Tamandua tetradactyla: one gene and its partner. Each later gene encodes a partner of the first gene's protein in a complex. Links are inferred from orthologs where the notes say so. Each region holds a gene or a part of one and is shown in the gene's direction. Other genes may lie near its edges.

Region 1 (7,028 bases):
CAGTAAACTAATCAAGACCCACCTGGAATGGATGGAGTCATATATCTATCTAATCAAATGTCACCCCCACAACTGGGCGAGTCACAGCTCCATGGAGATAATCTAATCAAAAGCTTCTACACACAATATTGAATCAGGATTAAAAGAAATTTCTCTGGCAAGATTGGCTTTTCTACGGTACATAATAATTTCAAACCGGCACACAGCCCTTTAGAAAAACAACTGTGTGCAGCCTATAATGCCTTACTGCAAGTAGAAGGACTAACTCAGAAATACTCTGTGAAATTAAGAACAGCCATCCCCCATACAGGGGTGGATTCGGGACATTGCCTCTAAGCCTTACTCTGGCAGTACACAGTTAATCACATTGACAAAGGGGAAAGCTTCTCTGCAGCAGCACAGCATTTCAACAACAGCTTCACAAGTGTAAAATGCATGATATCCTGAGATCAGTTTCCTATGTGGAAGAACAACACTTACCCCTCCCTGCTGATCCTCCCGAGGTGGCTGTCTCTGTGCCCACTGTTGATGGATGTGGCAGTATACCTGAGTCTGCCTGGTATACGGACGGAGGAGCACACGTGCAGCCTGCCACCTGGATAGCAGTAGGCATGTGCTTTGGTTTGCTGAAGCTGCCAGAATGCAATCTACCAGAAATGGACTGGCTTCTACAAAAGAAATTTATCAGGTTATAAATTTACAGTTCTAAAGCTGTGAAAATGCCCCAATGGATTTATCAACAAAAGGATAACTTCACTCAAGAAAGGTTTTCAGCAACTGATACACCTCTGTCAGCTGCAAAGACACCTGACTGGTGTCTGCTAGTCCTTGCTCCCAGTTCATTGCTTTCTCTTTCTAAGCATCTGTGGGCCCTCTCTTAGCTTCTCTGGGGCAAACTCTGCATTTCACCCCTTAGCTTCAGTTGGCTCTCTCCAGGTTCTGGGTCCTCCAGGTTCTGTGGGACCTTGCATAGCATCTCCGGGGCAATTCTGTCACCAAGCATCTGCCATTTCTCTGCTCTCTGTATCAGTTCTGAGCTCTCTCTATGCTTTCTGCCTTTTATTCTCTTCATCGAAGACGCTAGTAAAAGGATTAAGACCCACCTTGAATTGGGTGGGTTATACCTCCATGGAAACAAGTCAATCAAAAGATCCTACCCCCAAGAGGTCAGCATGCCCAAGACTGGATTAGAAGAACATGGCTTTTCTGGGGCACATAACAGTTTCAAGCAAGCACACTGTGTAACCTAGTACAAACACACTATGGGGTGGGAAACTGGGACTATCATGCGCTGAATTAAGGGATGTATGGATGGTCATTTTCACGAACTTGGAGATGGGATAACTATTTGTGCTGACAATTGGGCCATGTACCGAGGTCTGACAATGTGGATGGCCATGTAGAAGCAAGAGAAATGGACTGTTGTTGGCCATCCCTTTGGGGAAAAGAAATGTGGCCAGATATCTGGACTATCACAAGTGAAAGGTAACTGTGTTTCATATCTTTGCCCATAACACTAATTCTTTACCTGGCAATATTGAATTAGGAAAAATTCATAGCCGAAGGCCAACACTGCATGAGGCTGCTGAATGGTTTCATAAAAAATAGAACACCCAGGGTACCAGACCCTGTGAAGCCTGGTACAGCAATTCCAGCTGCCCATCACCAGGCAACTGAAAGAAGTTGTGAACATCTGCTCCTCCTGTTTGCTGCGATGCTCAAGGATGCTTCCTCATCAACTCAGTCACACTGGCTGTGAGCAGATTCTGCTCACCGGGTGGCAGGTAGGTTATACTGGGCCCCTTCCCTTATCTGGATATATAAAATAAGCTTTTACAGCTGTAGATAACGCCACTGGACTGCTGCTGGCTTTTCCAGTAGATAAAGCTAAGCAAAGAGATACAATACATAGCTTAGAAAAGCCAAGTGCATTCTTTGGGGTCTCCACACATGTCGACACTGATGGAGGGACCCCCTTAACTGGACAACTAACCCAAAACTTGGCTACTTAACGTGACATCTTATGAATATTTCATTTGACTTACAATCCCACAGCAGTGGGATTGATTGAAAGAATGAATGGGATTTTTAAATATATATATTTATTGTATTCACTTGCATTCACTTAAGATAAAAATCCAAAGTTTCTGGCTTCTTTAGGCTATTGTAAATAATGTAGCTGTAAACATTGGTGTACAAGTACCTGTTCAAGTCTCTGCTTTCAATTCTTTGGGGGACTATTCCCAGAAAAGGGATTGCCAAGTCACATGGTAATGATGGGCTTTTAAAAGAGTGATTAAACGATAACAAACAATCTCTGCAACACTGGGCGTGTCAGTTGTATCCAGTCCTCCTCAGCCTTGATTCAGGACCCAGAGCAGCTGCCCTCGCCCCTGCTGAACTGGTAATGGTAGGGCCCGTGCAGATACTGCAAATTCAGGTACAAAAAAGACCAGCAACACTACAGATATAACAAGGTAATGAAAATAACTTGCTTTTGCTGCACTACAAGCATTAGAAACTGGGGAAAATAAGGTCAATTGGCCATGGTCCTGGATGATGTAGTCGCACTGGTTGGGAATCCTAAGCCCATGGGGTATTGGGGTCACCCAAAATTAATGAGTTAGGCCATAGTTTATACACAAAAGGCCAAAGCTGTATATGTAACCAACCCGAGACCCTTCATATCCCAAGGCACAGTATGTAGGACTCTGTTATCACGTAGTATGTTCAGGCTAATTGTGAATCTGACCACAGAAAGCTCCTGCAATCGCAAGGGGAAAAGATGTAGTATTTGTCTGCTAGTGGAAAGTTGGCTTATGTTCTTTTTGCCCTTAGCATCGCAGCAAATACCTTTCTGCAACAGGCTTCTGTGGTAACCTACATGCACGATAAATCTCAATGCTGAGTGTGTGCTGAACTGCCACTGCTGGGTGTTACCAGCTTGCCTTGGACTGTGACCCCTGGGAATGAACTGCATGGAATACCCTGCTGGCCTGACAGAATTCAGAACATTGGAAAATCTAGAAAAGAATCTTCTCACGAACGAATGAAATCACAGGTTTTTATCAGTTATTAGTAGAATAATGTAACTCCCTTTCTTGGCCTGACAGCATCAGTTTGTGGACCTCCTAATGTTCTGTAGCCTCTTACACTGTTTTTGTGGAATATGGATGCATACTACTTCAGGGGCAGTGGATTGTGGCAACCCAGGGGTCGGGACCTCCCCCTCCACTACGGAAACATGTAGCAGCCTGGGTGACATTTATTAAAACTCCCCTCCCTTAATCACTAGTGGTAATCAACCCTCCCAGGACTCTGCTGAAACTACTTGTAACGACTTCTCGCAAGAGTCTGCTGAACCTTAGAAGCCATCCTCTTGGCACTCCTCTTCCCTTTGCACAAAATGCTGACTTCCATTTCCCAACCATTGGGAGAAATTTTTCTCCTTTAAAACGCATAAATAATTTTCTGCCTGGCGTGGTCTTTGGTCTCGGGGTTGTGCTGGGCGAGGGCAAGCTGCAAGTAATATTTATTGGCCATTATAAGGGGCCAAGTAGCCCTACACAGTACACTATATCATTTAATTTTCACAATAATACTGAAGTTGGGGGCTGGCTTCATCTCACAGCTACGATAATGAAGGCTGGAGAAAAACGGCCTCTGGCCTCTATGTCCGAGCCTCAGCCACCAATCTGCCCTCCATGCTTCCAGAGGGTCAAAATCCACGTGCATTCCCGCATATTCCTCGAGGTCAAATGTCAAGGCCAGCTCCCCTTATGGTCCCTCCAGCGAGGCCCACATGGCCCGGCTCGCTCAATGCGGAAGCCACGAGAAGGGAGCAAGCCTTCCTGCTTCCTGGGGTACAGGGGACTCGGGGTCCCCGGCCCCCCTGGCGTTGCCAAGGCGGCCAGGGTTTGCCGGGAGGAGAAAGGGGCGTTTTCCAGCGCGCAGCCCGAGCCCGGAACCTTTCTCCCCGCGCCGCGGTTGCCGGGCGGAAGTGTGCGGGCCGGGAACTGCCCTCCGGCTGCCAGGCTCGCGTCGCGGTCGCCGGCTGCTGACGTGAGCGGGTCGGGTGGCGGCCACGGTTGTGGGTCGCCATGGCGGTGGACATCACGCTGCTGTTTCGGGCCAGCGTCAAGACCGTGAAGACGCGGAACAAGGCGCTGGGAGTGGCAGTGGGCGGCGGGGCTGATGGCAGCCGCGACGAGCTGTTCCGCCGGAGCTCCCGGGCCAAGGGCGACTTTGCCAGTCGGGCCCGCGAAGTGGTGAGCTGGTTGCTATGGAGACGGCGGGCGGACGAGGGAGGCGGACCCGCGACTTAGCGGTGAGACCCTGTCGGGTTAGCATTGTGCGGAGGAAACGCCTGAAAGATGTGGTCTCACCGCGGGGTGGGGGTGGGGGTGGGGGTGTCTCAACCGGAGAGTTGGGTATGAGTGCGGACAGCTGCCTTCAGAAAGGAGCAGCCTTATATGGGGGACTGGATGTAAGTATTGGGGAAGTCTAGGAAGCAGATTTCTCTTTGGAAGAAGAAGGCACTCGGCAACCTCTAAGTGCAATGTTTGCTTTGTGAAAAAATGAGTTCGCGGGCACGGCGGACAGTCCTTTGCTTCCCCGACGCAGCCCTGACTACACTGTATTTGCCTCTTTTTGCTTGTCTGGTTCCGCCTCCCTCGCATTGAGATCAAAGACCACGTTTCTTTCAGCTGAGTCCTCCCCTCCCCTTGCCTTCCCCAGTATTTCAGGAGCGTGGTAAAGCTAAGCACATCTCGAAACTGGTTTTGGATAATCTTTCACAAATATTCCATGTTCTAGTCGTCTAAACTACTTACTGTTACCTGAACACAGCAGCCTTTCGTTCATAAGAGCAGGGGCTTTCTCCTTTAGGGCAGAAACTGTTGGCTTCATCTCGGAATGGCCCATAGCATTGCTTACTAAATGTTGAATGAATGAATGAATGAATGAACAAATGGCTGCCTGTCTTTCTAACTAAACAGGAAACACCATAAGGAGAGAGAAAATCTTTGTTCACTTTTGTATCCTTGGCACCAAGGTTGGATCTAGTTTTTATTTATACAATTTTATCTGCCCTTTTTCAGAAATACAAATAAGAAATTACCAAAAAAAAAAAAAAAAAAGAAGAAGGAAAAAGTAGCCTAAGGGCTTTGGAAAGTGCATGTGGGAGTCCCTGAAACCTCAGGTTCATTAGCTTCCTGATAAGTCCACCTCTGCTTAGCACACAGTCCAATACTTAGCATTTTGTGAACACTTGATGTTTTTGAATGAATATATGTATTCATGAATTAAGACTGGCAGTTGCAGAGGACAGTTAGGCATCAGAAGAGAAAGTGGACCAGATGAGTACATCCAGACCAAAGCACTGGTTTGAGTGGCATGATGTAAAAGGAGTAGTAGAGGAGATAGGCATATAAACAAAAATAAGTGCCATAAAGCTTAGTAGATGTTGTGACAGAAGGCTAAGACACAAAGGAAGGTGGTCAGTTCTGCCTGAGGGCTGGGAAAGGCTTAAAAGAGGTGATGATGTCTGAAATCAATCTCGAAAGAGTAGTTGGCTGGTTCCAGGACAGACAGAGTAGGGAAAGGCCTCTCAGGTTGAGAGAACAGTATGCACAAAGTCACTGAGGTAGGTGCCAAACTAACATCAGCTGGTTTGATAAGCATTTGAGTGTGGCTGGAATGTGGGACCCCCAGGAAATTTGGCCTGGAATGACAGGTAGGGGCAGTTCTTGAAGGACCTTGTATATGACTGCTGAACTTGAACTTTACACGTAGGCAATCTGATCTTAGTGGAGAAGGAGCACTAGAGAAGGAGCCAAGGGACTTGGTTGTCCTCTTAACCCTGCAACTATTAGCCACTTAAGGCTTATTCAGCAACTATCACCACAATTTCTTTACCTGTAGGTCCCCTTCTTTTTTTTTTTTTCCCCTTAAACAGCAAGAGACTGAAAACCGCATTACCCTCTAGGTCTGACAGATCAAATGGGAGCTTCTCAGGTTGAGGTGAAAGGAAGGGAAACCAGGCTATTCTCCCTCTCCCTCCCCCGCAATCTTGCCCAGACACTTCCTGAGCTACCACTTGTGGAGCTGTGGTTTGAAGACCGCAGTTTTGGTTTTTGGAGGGCCCCTCTACCTCTGCAATCACCAGTGTATTAACATCATGCTGATCTGAGTTGAGTTGCTGCTCTTGTAGGGACAAGAAGCACAGGAGGGTCTGTGAGCATGATGAAGAGCCCTGTGGTCACTGAGGCCCCCTCAGGCCTCTTCCTGAGTAGTGAGAACTAGAGTTCAGTCTTTGAATTCATGGGCATGGTTAAGTAGTGACAGGTTTCTACTACTGGAGTTATTTAAACAGAGGGGTAGTTAGGGATGTTTGAGAAGAACTTTGCTTGTCAGAGAGACTACATTCCATTGATGTTTAATGATGAGGGTAGGTGTAAAGTTGTGGAGTTTCTGTCAAGTAGGGACATGAGCTGCGCTGTTCAGGGCCACTGCCTCTTCTGATATTGGGAAAACATGCATTCTTTGGAAGAATTTTTTTTTCTCATATTGCAGTTGTAAGAAACTGTTCTTGCGACTATTTCTTTCTCTTTCACTCTTCCTCCTTGCGGAAGAGTTCAGCTAGTATAGAGCTAGTGGGGGGATGATCAGGTGTGTCAGATGTTTGGTCGTTAATATTGTTTTGGATAGATTTCCTTTTACATGAAAGTCTGGTTAGTACTAGGAGTACAGGTTTAGAACTGGTTATCAGACCAGAGGAAATGTAGCAAATTATAGAAATGACTTTGGTTAAATGCCTTCTTTGAAGCATTTGCTATCATTTTTGTTTTGTTTTTGTTTCTTTTGTTGAAGCATTTCCTATCATTTTAAAGATACATTTTGCCTACTTTAATTCCAGGCCTTCTGTTCCTTGTTTTGAACAAAATGTATGCCTGATGTCATATTTCCATCTCACTGCATTGATGTAGAGGTTGTATTAAGCTTAATAAAATTTTGTTGAAACTAGTTTT
Region 2 (7,876 bases), on another chromosome or scaffold:
GAGAAGCTAAATCTACTTATAATTATGCCCCTGGAGAACGTGTTTTGTTGCTCAGATGTGGCCTTTCCCTGTAAGCTAACTCGGCAGGTGAACTCACCACCTCCCGAGGGTGTGAACCTCCCTGGCAATGTGGGAGCTGGGACACAGCATCATGGGATTGAGAAAGCCTTCTTGGCCTAAAAGGGGAAGAGAGAAATGAGACAAAATAAAGTTTCAGTGGCTGAGAGATTTTGAACAGTCAAAAGGTTATCCTGGAGGTTATTCTTATGCATACAGATATTCCTTTTTAGCTTGTGGTGTATTGGGGTGGCTAGAGGGAAGTACCTGAAACTGTTGAACTGTGTTCCAGTAGCCTTTGCTCGTGAAGATAATTATATAACTATACAGCTTTTATAATGTGATGATGTGATTGTGGAAACCTACTGGTTGATTCTCCCTTTGTCCAGGATATGGACAGATGGGTAAAAAATAAGGACAATAAATAAATAAATGATGGGTAGAAAGGGGATAAGGGGTAAAAAAAAAAAAAAAAAAAAAAAGGTTGTATCTTCTTTATCCCTAGCATTTCATTCAGTATCTGGCACAAAGTAAATGTTCAATAAATGTTTATAAAATTGAAAAAAAATTTTAAAATATCTAGAATATAGGTAACCAGAAGATACAGTGAAGACAAAGAATAGGGAACTGATGCTTAATTTGTGCAGAATTTTTAAATAAAGGTGACTGTTATATTTGGAAACAGATAGAGATGATGATAGTACATTATTATAAGTGTGTAAGTAACAGTGCTGAATCATGTGTGTGATAATGGTTGAAAGGGGAAGTTTAGGGTCATGTATATCAGTAGAAGGAAAGCTCGAGGATGAAACAAGGGGCTGACATTATAACATAGTGAATCCAGTTGTGGATGATGAATGTGGTTAATAGTACTGTTCTAGTTTGCTAGCTGCTGGAATGCAATATACCAGAAATGGAATGGCTTTTAAAAAGGGGAATTTAATGAGTTGCTAGTTTACAGTTCTAAGGCCGAGAAAATGTCCCGATTAAAACAAGTCTATAGAAATATCCAATCTAAGGCATCCAGGGAAAGATACCTTGGTTCAAGAAGGCCAGTGAAGTTCAGGGTTCCTCTCTCAAGTGAGAAGGCACATGGCGAACACAGTCAGGACTTCTGTCAGCTGGAAGGGCACATGGCGAACACAGCGTCATCTGCTGGCTTTCTCTCCTGGCTTCCTATTTCGTGAAGCTCCCCGGGAGGTGTCTTCCTTCTTCATCTCCAAAGGTCGCTGGCTGGTGGACTCTGTTTTGTAGTGTTGCTCTCTCTGAATCTCTCTGAATCTCTCATTCTCCAAAATGTTTCCTCTTTTTATAGGACTTCAGAAACTAATCAAGACCCACTCAAATGGGTGGAGACATGTCATACCCTAATCCAGTTTAACAACCATTCTTAACTAAATCACATCAACCAGGGAGATGATCTCATTACAGTTTCAAATGTACAGTATTGAATAGGGATTATTCTACCTTTAAGAAATGGGACTTATATTAAAACATGGCTTTTCTTAGGGGACATGCTTCCTTTCAAACCAGCACAAGTACAAATACAAGAATGTTCTTCCATGAATTAGAACAATACATGTCAAAACTGCAAGATGTTGGTAATAGGGTGGTACATGGGAAAAAAATTTACCTAATGCAAATTATAGTCTGTTAATAGTAGCATAATGTTCCTCCATCTATTGTGTAGCAAAGGTACGCACTGAAGCTGAGTGTCATTAATGGCGGAGGGGGGAGATAAGGGATATAGGGTTTTCTTTTGGGAACTATGAACTATGAAAATGTTCTCAAATTGATTGTGGTAATGTAAGTACAGCTCTGTGATTATACTGAGTGCTATTGATTGTACACTTTGGATGGACTATATGGTGTATGAATAAAACTGTATTAAAAAAAAGGCTAAAATATAATCCACAGAATGGGAGAAGATATTTGACAATAATCTGATAAAGGTCTTGTATCTAAAATACATGTAGAAGTTATACAAGTCAGTAATAAAAAGACCAATGAGCCAAGGATCTGAATAGACATTTCTCCCAAAAAGATACACAAATGGCCAAGAAGCACATGAAAAAAAAGCTCAGCATCATTAGCCACCAGGGAAGTGCAAATCACAATTGCAGTATGTACCACTCCACAATCACTAGGATGACTATAATCAGAAAGACAGGTAATAGCAAGTGTTGGTGAGAATGTGGAGCAATTTAAACCTTTATACATTGGTGAAAATATAAAATGACACAGCCACTTTGAAAAACTGGCAGTTCTTCAAAAGATTAAACTAAGCATAGAATTGCAATACAAGCCAGCAACTCCACTTCCAGGTATCTACCCAAGAGAAATGAAAATGTGTCTGTATCTATATGTCCACATAAAAACTTGTACATGAATGTGTATAGTAGCATTATTCCTAATGGCCAGAAAGTAAAAATAACCTGTGTCCATCAATAGGTGAATGAATAAATAAAAGAAATGTTGTCTGTCTATCTAATAGAATATTATTCAGTGGTAGAAAGGGACTAAGTACTCTTCTGTGCTACAAAGTGGATGAACCTTGCAAATATGGTAACAAAAGACCATGTATTTTAGGATTCCATTTATGTGAAATGTCCAGATTAGACAAATCTATAAAGGCATACAGTAGATGCAGAGATTCAGAGTCGCCTAGGATTAGGAAGTTGGGGATAAATGGGGAATGACTACTAATGGATACAGGTTTTCTTTTTGGGGTGATGAAAATATTCTAAAATTGATTGTGGTAGTTGTTTGGGGAGGGGGTCCCAAAGCACCCAGTAGAAAAATGGACCCATGGAACAAGGAAGGGAAATACAGAGCAGCCTAACCTCCCAGGTTTTCCAGGCCAGCTTGACACATTCCACCATGCACCACTGGAACCAGTACTTCCTGCCAGGACTGACACATAGGACAAAGCACATATTTCATTGTGGCCTTTTCTCTCCTACAAGAAATATATAGTGGCTTCTTGTTGCAACCTAAGCCAACTAAACCCGGCATCTGGGGCCCTCTCTCTGTGACCTTGGCTTTGTGTGAGGAGCTTTGAAATCAGTACTGTGAAGTGGCTCTCACCTCCACCTTGTGCTGGTCGAGTTACCTTGGACAAGTTATTTAATCTTTATCAACCACAGTTTACTCACCATTAAAACAAAGATAATGCTACTGACTTTAAGGGGAGTTTGTGAAAATTAAATTAGATGTCTATGTCAGATGCTTATCACTTGGCAGACGTGTAATAAATGTTAGGTTGTTCCTCTCTTCCCAGCCAGGAATCATCCGATCCAGAGTTGGCCTGGGGCCTCCCCTTCCTGTGGTAATCACCTTCCCCCACACTCTGGGTCCCTTGGCTCCAGGCACCCTGACCTTGCTTTGTGTTCTCTATACCAGTCATAGCCAGACATCCAGAGCCTATATTTCTGGGTTTTAAACCTTTTCAGGCAAGGGTAATAGTGATGAGTCCCTGTCACTTTTGCCTAGCCCTTGGCCTTTTACTGCTTTGTGTTGTTTTTTGTTGTTTTACCTTAAATCTGTCTTCTAAATTGCAAACTTGATTTGAACACTTTATATCTTTATTTTCACTTTCTTTGGATCTTCCCAGTGCTTAGTTTAATGCTGGTCATGGATTAGGCTCTGAGGGAGCTGACTTGGCAGCTGACCACCAACTACTGCAGTAGCCTCTGCGCACTCAGTGGAGCAAGCAGGGTCATTGAAGCTCTAGGAGTGCAGTCCCCTAGTCAAGGTGCAGTCCTTTTTTCTGCCTTCCAAACCCTGAGAAGGTAGGGTGGATTGAAGAAGGAAAGAACCTCATCTTGTCTCCTTCCAGTAGCAGTATCCCAGCTTGGCTTCTGATCCTAAGACGCTGTTTCTAGAAGAGGGGGGCCCTCCTTTCTCCTTTCTCTGTTGGGAAGTGTACTGAGCATTTATTGAACGTTCTTTCTCTTCCAGCAGATGGCTCTGCTATCTCAGATTTGACCTTTCCCATTACGAGAACCCCTAGTCCCGTGTTCCCGAGCTCCCTACTTTAACGATCCTTGAACTGGATATACCGTTTTCTTAAAAAATCCTCCTCTTTCCTTGAGCAGAGGAAAGAAATGTGTGTGTGTTGTGTATGTGGATTAAGTTAGATTTAATGAAATTTCTGGGGATAACCTGAATTCTGTGTTCATCTAACAAATGTTGAAGTGCCTGATCTATGCCAGGAATTGTCCTAAATGTTGGAGAAAGAAAGCTAAGCATCATGCAGCTCATCTTATATTTGCTTTTAATTTCATCAAGGAGAAATTATCTGAACAATTAAAATTCTACCCAGAAACCAGACTTAGTAAACCTGTCTTGGAGAGCTGCTCAAGGAAGTTTTTAAAAGAGAATGTGCAGCTTGAACGTTATTTTAATTGTTTAACATGTTTAACATGACTGTCTAATGACCAGTTTTTTTCTCTAGACATGAGAATTTTGCTGCTTGATTTTGACCCTGTTCAGTTAATCAAGTTTATAATCTCCCAGATTGATAATTTGGAAGATGTAAACCAGTAACATTAAAAATACAATTTGACTTTTCTTTTTATGTTATTTAGGTCATTGCTTAGAGAAACTTCTGTACGGCCCCCCAGCATCTGATGAAATTAGTGAATAAGCCAGTCAACCATGTCTTACACTCCGGGAATTGGTGGGGACCCTGCCCAGCTGGCCCAGCGCATCTCTTCCAACATCCAGAAGATCACACAGTGCTGTGAGTTGATTTTTAAATGACTTCCTTGTTTGTTTTTAATTTTTAACTGAAATTGGTGAAGGTTCATAAATAGGCAAGTGTAGTGCTGAGGGAGGGAGCAGCACACCATTGGCAAGAAAGGAGACCAAGAGGCTTACTTCAATGGATGAAGCAGGTATACTGTGCTAGGAAAGATAAGCTGTATTTAGTAAGAGGATGTCTTGAGTTGAGAGTCATCTTCTCTGGAATGACAGTACTCAGGCTACAGAAGCACCAAGTAAAGATTGAGGGGTTGCAGATTGTGTATGAACTTGAGCTGGAAAGAAGGAAGGGTTAGCTGAAACCAGGCTGCACTCCCTGAGAAAGTGATCAGTTGGTCCAACTAGATGAGAAGTGATAAGTTGGGGTAGAGTTGAATATTCATGGCATGTTGTGACAGCTTGTATGAGATGACATCACAATCTGGGGCAGCTTTGGTGTGTGGGAAGATGAAGATTCACCACTGTCCTGCATGAAGCGCTGTAGAGCAGGCTGGGAGCACTCTGCCAACAGGAGCTTCGATCACTGCCTTCTGATATCTGTGTACTGTCATTTGTGAAACAGAACTGTGTCCTGCATGGACTTAAAGGCCTCCACAGTTGAACAGAAGCTGCAGAGAAGGAAGTGTTTTTTAATCTTCCCAGTTGTTGGGGGTGGAATTACCTGGCTCAGGAGAGGTGAGATTTCTGTTACTAAAGTGACTAATATTATAGAATAGCCAGGTAATTCTTAGGTCTGTAATTAAGAATTTTAAATATTGGCATTATGGTTCAGAATAAATGTCCTTAATTTTGAGACTCTATTTTATCCATTCAACAAGCATTTTATTGAGCACCTCCTATTTGCTGAGCAGTACCCCACACATTGGGAGTACAGTAGTAAACAAGTTCCACAAGGCCCTGCTCTCATTTTATGTACAGTAAAGTGAGGAGAAACAGATAGTAAACAATTAATGAACAGCACAGTTTCCTTAGAAGAAAATGAAGTGGAGATAATGTGGAAGTGAGTGAGTGGGGGAACTGCCTGCGCTTAGTTGGGCCCCTGAATGAGGGTGAGAAAGGCTGGTGGTGAGAAGACAAAGAGAAAGGGCATTTCTGATGGAGTAAATAACTAGTATTAAAAACATTAAAACAGAACAAAGCTGGGGCGTTCAGAGACAGAAAGGCCAGTGTGGCCAGAGAACAAACCAGAGGGGCCGGAGATGGCAAGAGAGGAGCCTGGGGCCCATTATTGTGGGAGTGTGGGGAGTTTGTGCTTGATTTTTTGAGGCAATGGAAATCTAGCAGCAGGTTTTAACTAGGGCAGGGAGGAGAGTTTTGTTTTATCTGAATAAATTTTGAAATGCCTTTTAGACATCTAAGTCAGATATCTAGCTTAGATATGTGAATTTGCATTCAGGTGTCATCAGAGTATTAATGGTATTGAAAACCACAAGTCTAAGATAATCACAAGAGCAGGAGTGTTAAAGATGGTAGAATTCAAAGAGTCAGAAGGAAGCCAGCAAAATGAATCTGAGAAGATGTGACCAGTAAGGTAGGAAGAAAATCAGGGATTTCTGGGAATCAAAAAGTGAGGGTGTTTCAAAAGTAGGTGAGGCATCATCTGGGTCTTGCTGCTGAGAGGCAAAGGTAGAAGCAGAGAGTTAGATTTGGAAAATTGAGATCACTGGTGACTTTGAAAAGAGTGGTCTCAGAGCCATGTTCCAAGAGATTTCTCAGAATTCCACCCACCTCTGCTTCTGCTCTTGGCCGGATCCAGTCACATAGGAACACCTAGCTGCAAAGAGGCCTGAAAATATCTTATAGCTGGATTGCAATGTGCTCACTAAAGTGAGGATTTGCTTCATTTGAGTGAAAAGGGAAGAATCAGCATTTCTTAGGCAACTAGCAGATTCTACCTAGGAGGTGGAAGGAGGGTCAGAGAAAGGATTGTATTTTCTACCACGAAAGGGAAATACTATAATGTTTGTGTTTAGTGAAAATGACCCAAAAGAAAGGGAGAAGTTAGGAAAACAAAAAAAAAGTGAGCGTTTCATTGTGAAAGGAATGTCATTGAAGGTGAGAAGGGGCAAGGAATAATGGAAAACAAATGAGTGGTTCACCTTTCATCCCTCTACAGAGGTGAGGCAGAGGATGGGGGGCAAGAGTTTTTGTGCCAACAGGTCCAGTTTAGTCATTGGACAGAGAATGAGAGGGAGGGACATTGAAAGTTTACAGGAGAGGAGAAAGTGGAGAAGTCAAATCACGTGTAGATTTGATTATTGAGAGAGCTAACAGATCGAGGAAGCAGAGAAGGTTCTTGGCAGGTTGTGTATTCATTTAAGATTTAGTATTGTGAATTTAGTGAAGCCAGTCAGCACTGGGTATTTTTTCTGATTCTGAGACAGTGTCTAGATGAATGGAAGGTTAGCTATAGATAAAGTTATTGTTAAAACTATCACCCACCATTCCAGCGTGCATCACTGGTAAGTGATTTGCAGAACTCAGGTGGAAGTGAAAGGCAGATACAAAATTTCAGTTCATTTTTTCTCCCCTTTAGTGATGCTAATAATAGTGGATATGATTGAATGAAATGACACTTTGCACCGCATTTGGTTCTTCTCTTCACACTACATTTGCGTTTTTAAAATTTGTGTACAAATTAGTAGATTTTACAAAAGAAATCTTGGCATGATACTGTAATATCATACCCTTAGAGTTAGAATATGTGCATCTCTTCACCTAAAGCTAAAGTCTTGCTGAGTAATGCAAAAGTCTTGCTGAGTAATGCATTGGGCAAGTGTTATTTTCTTACTAGATTTCATTAAGATAAGTGAAAACTTGTAATACGTTGAATTGTATTACTTTATACGAAAAAGAAACTAGCAATCAGAAAGAATTTTGATTCTTGGAAAAGTCCAAGAATAACAATATTTAAAGTTGAAATTTTGTTTTCTTTTACTAGTATTATATATTGAACGTTCTTTGTTTGCAAAGAAAAAGGTAAATAAAACAAGGTTATTTTTAAACTTAAGTATTTCTTTTTTGTCAAACCACTTTTGTTAAAAAAAAATGTAAA

Evidence for each region. The genes of interacting proteins can lie anywhere in the genome.
Region 2: STX18 (region 1) and STX7 share a complex: the UniProt entries of both Homo sapiens proteins name them as parts of the SNARE complex. The link is inferred for Tamandua tetradactyla from reciprocal best matches to the Homo sapiens genes STX18 and STX7.

The regions. Positions count from the first base shown.
Region 1 is NC_135345.1:8,488,891-8,495,918, forward strand, and holds the start of STX18 (syntaxin-18), read left to right. Parts: upstream 1-4,015; 5' UTR 4,016-4,100; coding exon 4,101-4,268; intron 4,269-7,028. UniProt on the Homo sapiens protein: Syntaxin that may be involved in targeting and fusion of Golgi-derived retrograde transport vesicles with the ER.
Region 2 is NC_135351.1:32,621,683-32,629,558, reverse strand, and holds the start of STX7 (syntaxin-7), read left to right. Parts: upstream 1-4,816; 5' UTR 4,817-5,396; coding exon 5,397-5,496; intron 5,497-7,876. UniProt on the Homo sapiens protein: May be involved in protein trafficking from the plasma membrane to the early endosome (EE) as well as in homotypic fusion of endocytic organelles. Mediates the endocytic trafficking from early endosomes to late endosomes and lysosomes.